Linked DNA regions of Drosophila melanogaster. The protein of the gene in region 2 interacts with the protein of the main gene of each other region in a pairwise test. Each region holds a gene or a part of one and is shown on either strand. Other genes may lie near its edges. The genes, in order: dpn and sisA.

Region 1 (5,928 bases), on a different chromosome or scaffold from region 2:
TGTAGATGGTGGAGATCTTCTCCAGAGCGCCATCCAAGGTGTTCAGAATGGTGTCCTCGGGATCGTGTAGGAGCTTCACAGGACCCGTGAGCTTTGGAGAAGCACGGTAATGGTGCAGACCATCTTCAGAACTAGATGCCAAACTAATAGCTGGCAGGATCGCCACAGTTAGTAACACTTGAAACAGATTTCCTGGCATGGTAAAATTAAAATTTTTCAATTAAATTGTTTTTATAATTTCTGAGATTTTTCAATGCACGCCTGAAAGTCACTGCGCGCTCTTGATTGCAATAATTTAGTTTTTGACACACTAAATGTGTTCCGCCTATTGCTTATATAGCATGGATTGGGAGCTTTCGATTGAGTTATCTTTTCAATCAAACTTTGCGAAAACATCGAACATACATGATAAGGCTGTTTCCGTATTGATTTGAATTCAGCTTCCGACTTTTCAATGAGTTCAAGTACTATTGATTGTTGATGCGATCTTGAATTTTCCAATTCTAATCAGTTAAGAACCAAGGAACCATTAAATTTGGATGGATTTTTCTTTTGCAGCATTTTTTTTTTATTATCATTATTTTCACTCCATCGAATTTTGCATTACCTAAAAGTTAAAATTACAATCGTTAAATTAAAACACTAATATAGAAACGTGAATGACCTAATGATAAACGCTATACAATGAAAACTACATAACTTAAATAGAAACACGTTTAATTGTTTAAATACTTGAGCAGTTAATGAAACATTAAAGAACATAATTATTTAATGAACTACATAATAGTCGTATAAAGCGCTTAAACGAGAACTACACAAAAAATATACAAAATCACAGCTGAACTTAAAATGAAGAAAGCGAAACGGGGATACATAAAAACATATAGAAATCGTTGAAACTTAATGGGGTTCTAAAGCATTGAAGTGATCTTTGAAAAAATTGCAATGAAATAAATTAACAATGTATAAACGTAACATAGAAGTGGCCTGTGCGGTTGATCTACCACGGCCTCCAAGCGGAGCTCGACTTTTCGATGGCGCCAGCTAGGAATTTCTTGGACGAGGGCTCGTCCAGGGAGCAGTCGCTGGACTCGGCCTCCGCCTCCCTGTCGCGCTTGGCGATTCCGCTGGTGGAGCTCACTTGCTGTTGCTGCAAGTGGGCCAGCGGTCGCGAGCATCCGCTGCTGTCGTGGCTTCCGGCACTCAAGTTGAGGGATCCGCTGGTGTTGAAGGAGGTCTCCGCGCTGGTTGGTGGCGGAGTTGAGAAGACGCCGGCGAAACTGTGCTTGCTCATCACATCCACGGTGGGCGAGGCAGCCCGGGACTCCTCGCAGTGGCTGGAGATGGAGGAGATTGGGCTCAGCGGTGGGCTTGTGCTGTTCTTCACCGGCAGCTGCGTTTGGCCGGGCAGTGTGTGGATGAGGTTTTCCGGAAGATTGGCCGGAACTGAGGTATTGACCGGTTTGCTGAACGCGCTCATCCTGAAGCTCTGTGTATAGTCATTTAGATGTGTGGGATTGGCAATGCTGGCCAAGGCGGCACTGGCTGTTCCAGCTGCGACTCCCGCTGCAGATCCTGGCCAGGCAAAGGGTCCCGGAGGCGGAGCAGCGGAACCTGTGTTCGGCATGATGAGGGCAAACTCTCCCGAGGGCAGGCGGGAGGGAATTAGCTGAAGTCCACCCATTTGGATGGCCGGAGCCGATGACTCCGTGCGGCTGTTGTTGTTCAAGTCCTGCGGCAACGAGGGAAACAGCGGAGTGGGAGCAGCCGTGACAGCTGTGGCGGGAAACAAGCCACCACGGTATCCATTGCTGAAGTTGCTCATCGAACCGATCTGCTCCAGACTATTGGCACACTGGTTAAGATGGGCGCTGAGCCGCTGACGAACACCGGTATCGATGCCATCCATTTGGCTTACATAGCGGTTCACCTCCTCCGCGCACTCAACGAATCCCGTCTTGAACTTCTGGACAACGCTGGGATCCGATTGGATGGCCATGTTGAGCTGCTGGCGCTGCACCGACTGCAGATGCTTCACCGTCATCTCAAGTATGTCGGCCTTCTCCAGTTTGGTATGACGAGCCGGCTAAAAGTATAGAAGACGAAGGAACCAAAGTCAGATAATGATGAAATGGGGATGGGGTGGGAGATGGTCGGGCTAATTGTTTGGGGCCCTACAACAAGTTCAATAGCTTGGGAAAAAGCGAAGTTAAGAAGCACGTTTCGTGCCTCATATGTCCAACTATTCGCGTGTAATCTGCAGTCCACTTCAGTCGAGTCCACTCTGTAAATATCACACGACCAAGGTGAGATTCAGCAACTCCAGCGAGAAGAACGACTGATCTTGCTACTGTGCACTGAGCAAAAAGGGGGCTTAAAGTCAAATTTTCTGGCAAGTGAATACTAATGATGGAAAAGTGACTGTCTTTAGTAAGTGGTTCTAAAATAAACTACTCGCCGATCTTATCGTTTGTGATCTCATATGAAGACTTTTTGGGCACAGAAGATTCCAAATCGTTCTTCCTGATCTTCTTTTTTCGCGCAGTGCGATCTTCGCCAGTCTTCGGTCCCCGATTGTTCGTCCCTTTCTCGCCGCTGGGACTGCATATTTTAGCAAAAGGTTCCCACGCAGGTCGCTCGCCAGCCCCGCCCCCTCAACCTCCCCCGCTCCCCTGTCTGAACCTTTTGTTTACTTTTGCTTTTTTCCCTCAATGTCTTTCTTATTTGATTTTTGGTCCGGCTCTCCTGCAGAATTCTGCGGCGGCAAATTTTACTTGATTTCTGCTTTGTAGTTTCTCACAGCAGGATCACTCCTTGGAAACTGGTTTCGTTCGCATCTCCGGCGATTTCTGCGTAATTCCTCGACTTGTTAACACTTTTTGGTCTCTTGACTGACTCCTCGTCGGCGCTCTAGTGTAATGATCATCAATAAAATTTAATACTCAATTAGAGCCCTTGGTTTGTGTTTTTTTTTTCAGTTCTTGTGTCGTAGGAGTTCGTTTTTTATACATTTTTTTGTTCTTTTGTAGTTCTGCCGCCCTTCGGACACTTGTGCCTTAAAGGTTTTTTTTTGTGGACTAACATTATTTATAAGAAAGTGAACCAAAAGGGATCGGGGGCTAGTTTCTAATTCGCGGGCGGACCGCTCCTTTTCTGCTTTGACGCTCGGGCAAGATACTTACGTCTTTTTTCATCGCCTCCAGGATAAGGGACTTCAGTTCGTTGAGGCAGTGATTAATGCGAGCTCGGCGACGTTTCTCCATAATCGGTTTGTTGGTCTAGAAAAGAAAGGGAATCAATTAGTTTATTTCGTAGGAATTTATTTCAGTTTAAGGGATATCTTTGTTTATATAAAACAAGGGTTTCACTTGATTTTTAAAATTAATTTAATGCTTTACATTTTCTAAGCCATTAAAATGAAAAGGTTCAAAACGATCGAGGGTGCTAATAAACTCTGCTATTTTTTAGTTTGCGAGTCCAATTTCATCGCAAAAGAGCGAACTCACCTTTCTAAGTTCTGCTTTTGACAATCCATTGGGATTGGACATGCGTCCATTGGAGCCATAGCTGTCGCTATAGCCGTTGGAGCAGTCGAAATCGTCGTCGGAATTAATATCGTTTTTGTAATCCATTTTGTAACGATTTTAATTTGTATATCCAAGTGGGAGATAATCCAAGATAGTTCGATTTCGATTTGGTCTTTTTCACAACACAATAACTTTGGTTCGAGTACGAAAATAGTTATAACAATTATTGCACGTACTTCTTAGTAATGTCCGAACAACAAAAACTTAACAAGCGGTACGCGTTAAAGATCGTTCTGGTTATCGAATCGTATAGAATAGTATTTTAAATGTTCATTCAAAGGAGAGCGGCAGACGACCGCGCTCGCGAGATGCCAAAAGGATACTGATCCTCCGAGTCCACGGGCACCAGCTAAAAACGAATCGGGTCGAAGCCGAAACGAGTCCACGAGTGAAACCGAGGGACTCTCTTACCTGGCGACGCGGGCAGCGGCAGAGGCAGAGCTGAGGCAGGTAGGCAGCCCAACGATCGCCGTCCGCAGACTGAGAACTTTTCACCGCAGCAGCGCAGTTGCGCTCAATCGGAGAGTGAGTGAGTGCATAACCACCCCAAATCCAATGAGTTCACACTCGGAGTGAGATTTAAGTGAGTATTTGAGTAGGTATTCCCAGGCAGGCAGAGTTGCCGAGTCAACGAATTGCGGATTCCAGGGGATTAGTGAAAATAGGAGCTTAACTCAAGTAAACGAGACTAAGTCGAGCCTGATCGAGAAACAACACAACATTCGGTTAAGCCAAGTCATTAGCCTTTGGCTTGACGAAACCCACAAAATTTAGTTGATTTTATTGTAAAATACAGCAAGCATTGTATATTAAATAATTTTGAAGGAAATTAAGCATTAAAATCAATAACATATCATTAATGAATTTAAAGTTTATTACAATTTAACAAAAATTTATAACTGAATTTAATCTTCTAATTCGTGTCGAAGCCGACTTAATACCCAATCTATTTGTTTTAGAATATTCATATATTTAGCAATAATTATACAAAGCTACTATAAATCTTATGAATATTATTACTTTACTTTTTTTTACTTTTTACTTGCTTATTACTTTTAATGAATTGATTAAAGCAATAGTTAACAAAAATATGAACTATATTCAGAGAATTAACAGCGATTCTTCTTTAGTACTTGAAATTTGCTAAAGCAAAGCAAAAAATCTTTAGTTCCTTAAAAAATGTATCAAGTGAGATTTTCTATAAGTTATCAGTGAGTAGCATTATTTGCGACAGATGTTCCGTTTGTGTCCGTTTCCCTTTTGGGTGGCTGGCTGATGGCACATTTAGTCGCACAGATTTCACCCTTGGCAAGGACAAACTTGATCAATGCCCGGCGAATGATTTGCAATTCATTAAGGAGAACTCCTTGGCAATTGTTCGGCGCAGCTGCCGCAACCCCCGTGACAACCCAACCCCCTTGCAAGGCGAAATCCTTAGTTTCAAATTCTTCGCTTTTGCCTGGTCGGCTCATCGGCAGAAGCGTCTTAGGGGGTTGCTTGGGTTTCGGGACGGAATCGCGACTTGCAATGGATCGGAATCGGACCTGGATCGGTCGTGGGTCTGGGACTGAGGGTCGGGGTCAATCATTACGGAGCTTACCTGGCTGGGCCAATTTTTATAGTCGATCCCCGGCAGATTTTCCTTTTTCAGGCAAATTTATTACTTTACGATGTTGGCAGGATTACGACCAAAGGAGTTGTCAATAACCACTGACGCGGGCCATGCGCCAGCTGACAGCTGACGTAGATCTACCTATGGACCGATTTGGGGAGTTTTGGGTGGGATCGTAAACGTATTGCGCCGCCTGGCAACCCTGGTTGTGCAAAGTGATCCCTCGCGGCCTGAGCGTAAATCCCGTGTTGAGCAATAATCTGTGGCGATCATCCATCATGCACAAGCTCTGCAGCACTGATCCGATGTCAACTTTCGTAAATTGAATAAATGCCACGGCTACGATTGACCAACTAAAACATCCACAGCAACTAAACCATGGGGTTCGGCTGAATTCTGCACTGATGAGCACATCACCCTGCTTAATGGCGATCACTTTGGCTCCTTTGAACGCCGCAAATTTGGCAAACATTTTCCCACGAAACCCGAAATAAGCACGATGAGCTGGCAAAATGTAAAAGTGCCATGGGCCAGGGAGAAGAAACCTCAGAACCATCCGACATATGTGGATCAATCGTCTGGCGAAACGTGCAGAGTCTGCAGAGCTTCTTCAGAAACTGAGAATTGAAATTCTATAACGAAGAAACCAGTCAGAAATCAAAGTTCAATATCAGCCCCAAACGCCGCTGCTGCTGTGGCTTCTCCTCTTTCTTTCTTTCCTTTTTTTTC
Region 2 (3,162 bases):
AACGACTAACTGATACCTAAAGAGTTGAAAAGATACGGCGTGAAATAGAATAACTTTTTGGGGTAAAAAACAATCAGAAGTATCTATATTTATCCTTCTCATTACGCAGACATCAAGATATTATGAGAAATTACTTAAAAAATATATGTAGTTATTAAAATTATATTGTATATATATATACATAGTATATACCCTTGGCAAGCATTTAGTAAAGCTTCCAAGTTCAGTTCGCAGTTCTTAAATGAAAACACCAACCAGAAAGTGGGGTGCTATTTGCAGTAGTAGCCCCACTAAATTTAGCCACAATCTCTTACAGAAACCTGCTCTTAAGGCCATTACTTCCATTGCATTTGCTGCTTTTGGCAACGCAAATTGTTCGCAAGCCAAAAAAAAAAAGGGAAAAAAAGAATGGAAAGGGGGAAAAACGTGAAACGGGGAAAGCGAAGTGCAATCATGTCGGATCAAATGAACTGAACTTAAGCAAGTCGAAATGGGTGCATTGCATTGGCCCAATTCCGATGGGATTACCTTCGGCCAGGCGAAGGAAACCCCAAGACTGCCGATGCGTTAAATGCAGAATAAATGCATCCAAATTATGGGAAATTCTTGTAAAGTGAAATTAACAAGTTATCCTTGACTCCATATGATCGTGTGAACCTATAACAAATATTTGAATAAGAAAGCATTCGTTTTCAATATGATTCTTAATTTTATTTAAAAATTTAATAATATGCTTAGATAAATACTAGATATAGTCAACAAAAAAAAAAAGTGGTATGGCTAATGCTGGACTAGTCAGGGATCCGTTCCTGCGACACATAGCTACACTATGATATCACTGCTCCATTTCCAGGCCGAAAGTGGCCCGCATCCGCTCGAGTGTGGCGGCGGGATATCCCCGCTCGAGCAGCTGCCTCTCCGCCTGGGCAATCACATCCCGCATCGTGTCCAACATGACGGCGCTCTTCTTCAGCTGCCCGCTGACGAATTTGTGCCGGAAGCGCAGCTTGGCCTTCTTGATCTTGTTGTTGTAGCGGGATTTGCGGCACGACTCGGCCCTCTGACGCTGGGCATCCTTGACATCCGAACCAGAACCGGAACCTGATCCGGAACCCGATCCGCGGCAATCCATAGCAAGCTCCGTTTTCAGCGGCGGCGGTGCACGGCGCTCCACAACAATGGGATTCTCCAGGAGCATCTGGTCTACGTAGCGTTGCTCCTCGTCGGCGTAGTGCATTTTGAGATGATGCAGCTGCTGGGACACCAGCTCCTCGATCTGCTCCGGCTTCGATGATGTTGACGATGCTGTCGATAGTGCGGGTGAACTGCTTCCGCGATACGGTGCGTATACGTGACCCATGGCCGCGTAGCTCAGAGTGGGCAAGTAAAGATGACTCCGTTCCATGGTGATTTTTTTCGATGTGTGACGTGGTCTGTGACTGCTCTCGTCGAGATTTCGTGTGCTAATGCTGCCTTAGGCAATATGTCAGCCCCGTTTTATACCATTTCCGCAGGTAGCTTGCCATTGGACACTGGATGGGTTATTCGCGGGTTCTACCTTCATGAATGGCGGTCACTGGGATTTATGATCTTGTTTTCCTCAATCTTGTCGCCTTGCTGGACACCGCCTACCTGCATCCGGATTGGCCAACGAATCGCAGATATGTAAACAAAGGGATTAGGGTAGCAGACGCACTGAGTCTACCTGATAATTGGTCAAATTTAAAAACAAAAGGATCAGGTGCGAACCAATATGTGGGTTTCTTCAATGGCTACCTACATACATATGTATGTCGGTATGCAAATACTCCCCATAATATAAAAGATATTCTAAGCCAAGAGATACGATTCAATGCAACTGATAAGGGCGTCATTAAATCCACAATAATCCCAAGGTCAAGCTGGGCTGTTCGTCTATCACCATCCATTTGCCGATTCGCGCCTTATCTAGCAGCCGAAATGAGTCAACAAATGTTGGGCTATGTGGAAAATCAACCTGCTTGGGCAAATACGAGCATGTCAAGCGGGTGGGATCAGGCGGCATTATGCGATAAGAGACACCAATATCGATTGCCATTGCTACCTGCTAAAGTTGCTATTTGTCCATTCCGGATCAACCCATCTGGAAGTGGGTTTCCCGCATCAGGTAGCCATTTCAAGGAGCCACTTTCGACGTGGTGGCAAACAAGTTGCGGCTTGTTGTCGTGGGATTAACCAGCCGAACCGACCGCATTTAGTCTATTAATTAATTTAACAGCCCTCGAAACGATGAGGGGTTCAGCGACCTGCTTAGCAGGCCTCAAAGGGTTAAACCAGAAATCCCTTTGGCTGAGAATAATATGTAATAGAGTTTGGTGGACCAAACTCAAAATCCATAAATAGTTGCTATCTCTGGCTGATGTAATGTAATATTTAACTAGCAATATTATAGAACAATATGACGCAAGCAGCAACTTATGCTAATTAAATAACCAATTAATTGTTGAACAAAAAGCAGTAAAATGTTATAACACTGCAAGTACCCAAAATATACTTTCCACTTGCTCCATTTTCATGTATTTCAATTTACAACGCTGCACATGTGTGCCACTCGAATTACATAACTGGCATAAATAACTCCGCTGGGTAATTGGCAAAACAATTGAGTATTTTTAGTGACCGAAAGCAGTTTTAATTCGAAATCCCCCATTTCAGCCAGATGGGGGCAAGCTGTCAGCGGCAGACGGGCAATAATTTTTCCATTTTTCGCATTTTACCATTTTCCATTCGGCATTAACCATTTGCCATGTGAACAATAAAATCGACAGCGCCGCGTTTGTTTGGCAAATGAGAAAATATGCAGACAAGTATAATTAAAAAACCATTTATAATCATTTTCGACCAAATCCCAATTGGCCACCCAAAACCAAACCAAACCCCGCAGGAACACTTGAAGCCTGACAGTTTTCAGCTTGAGAATAAGTTGGGAATGCCGATGGCCGGAATACTCTAGCTGAATTGGATGACTCAAGGAAATATGTATATACTCTTATTTCTATATACTCAAATGTTGAACTAGGGCTTCCATTTTCGGACAATAAAGAAACACTATACCCTTAGAAAGAGTACTGAAAATCGAGGAGCAAGGCGACGATAAATGGACGCACATGAAGGAGACTCCGC

The links.
Region 1: the proteins of sisA (region 2) and dpn interact in a two-hybrid assay, tested with the Drosophila melanogaster proteins (one study listed by BioGRID).

What each region holds. Positions count from the first base shown.
Region 1 is NT_033778.4:8,228,417-8,234,344, forward strand, and holds dpn (deadpan), read right to left. Parts: upstream 3,915-5,928; 5' UTR 3,633-3,914; coding exon 3,507-3,632; intron 3,279-3,506; coding exon 3,183-3,278; intron 3,173-3,182; exon of another isoform or gene 2,688-3,172; intron 2,650-2,687; exon of another isoform or gene 2,087-2,649; coding exon 1,001-2,086; 3' UTR 555-1,000; downstream 1-554. Other genes in the region: CG34217 (uncharacterized protein), read right to left, coding at 1-199. UniProt on the Drosophila melanogaster protein: Transcriptional repressor of genes that require a bHLH protein for their transcription.
Region 2 is NC_004354.4:11,320,886-11,324,047, forward strand, and holds sisA (sisterless A), read right to left. Parts: upstream 1,473-3,162; 5' UTR 1,406-1,472; coding exon 836-1,405; 3' UTR 694-835; downstream 1-693. UniProt on the Drosophila melanogaster protein: Involved in sex determination and dosage compensation. Required for proper expression of Sxl in embryonic somatic cells. Also has an essential function in the yolk nuclei. Involved in endoderm migration and midgut formation.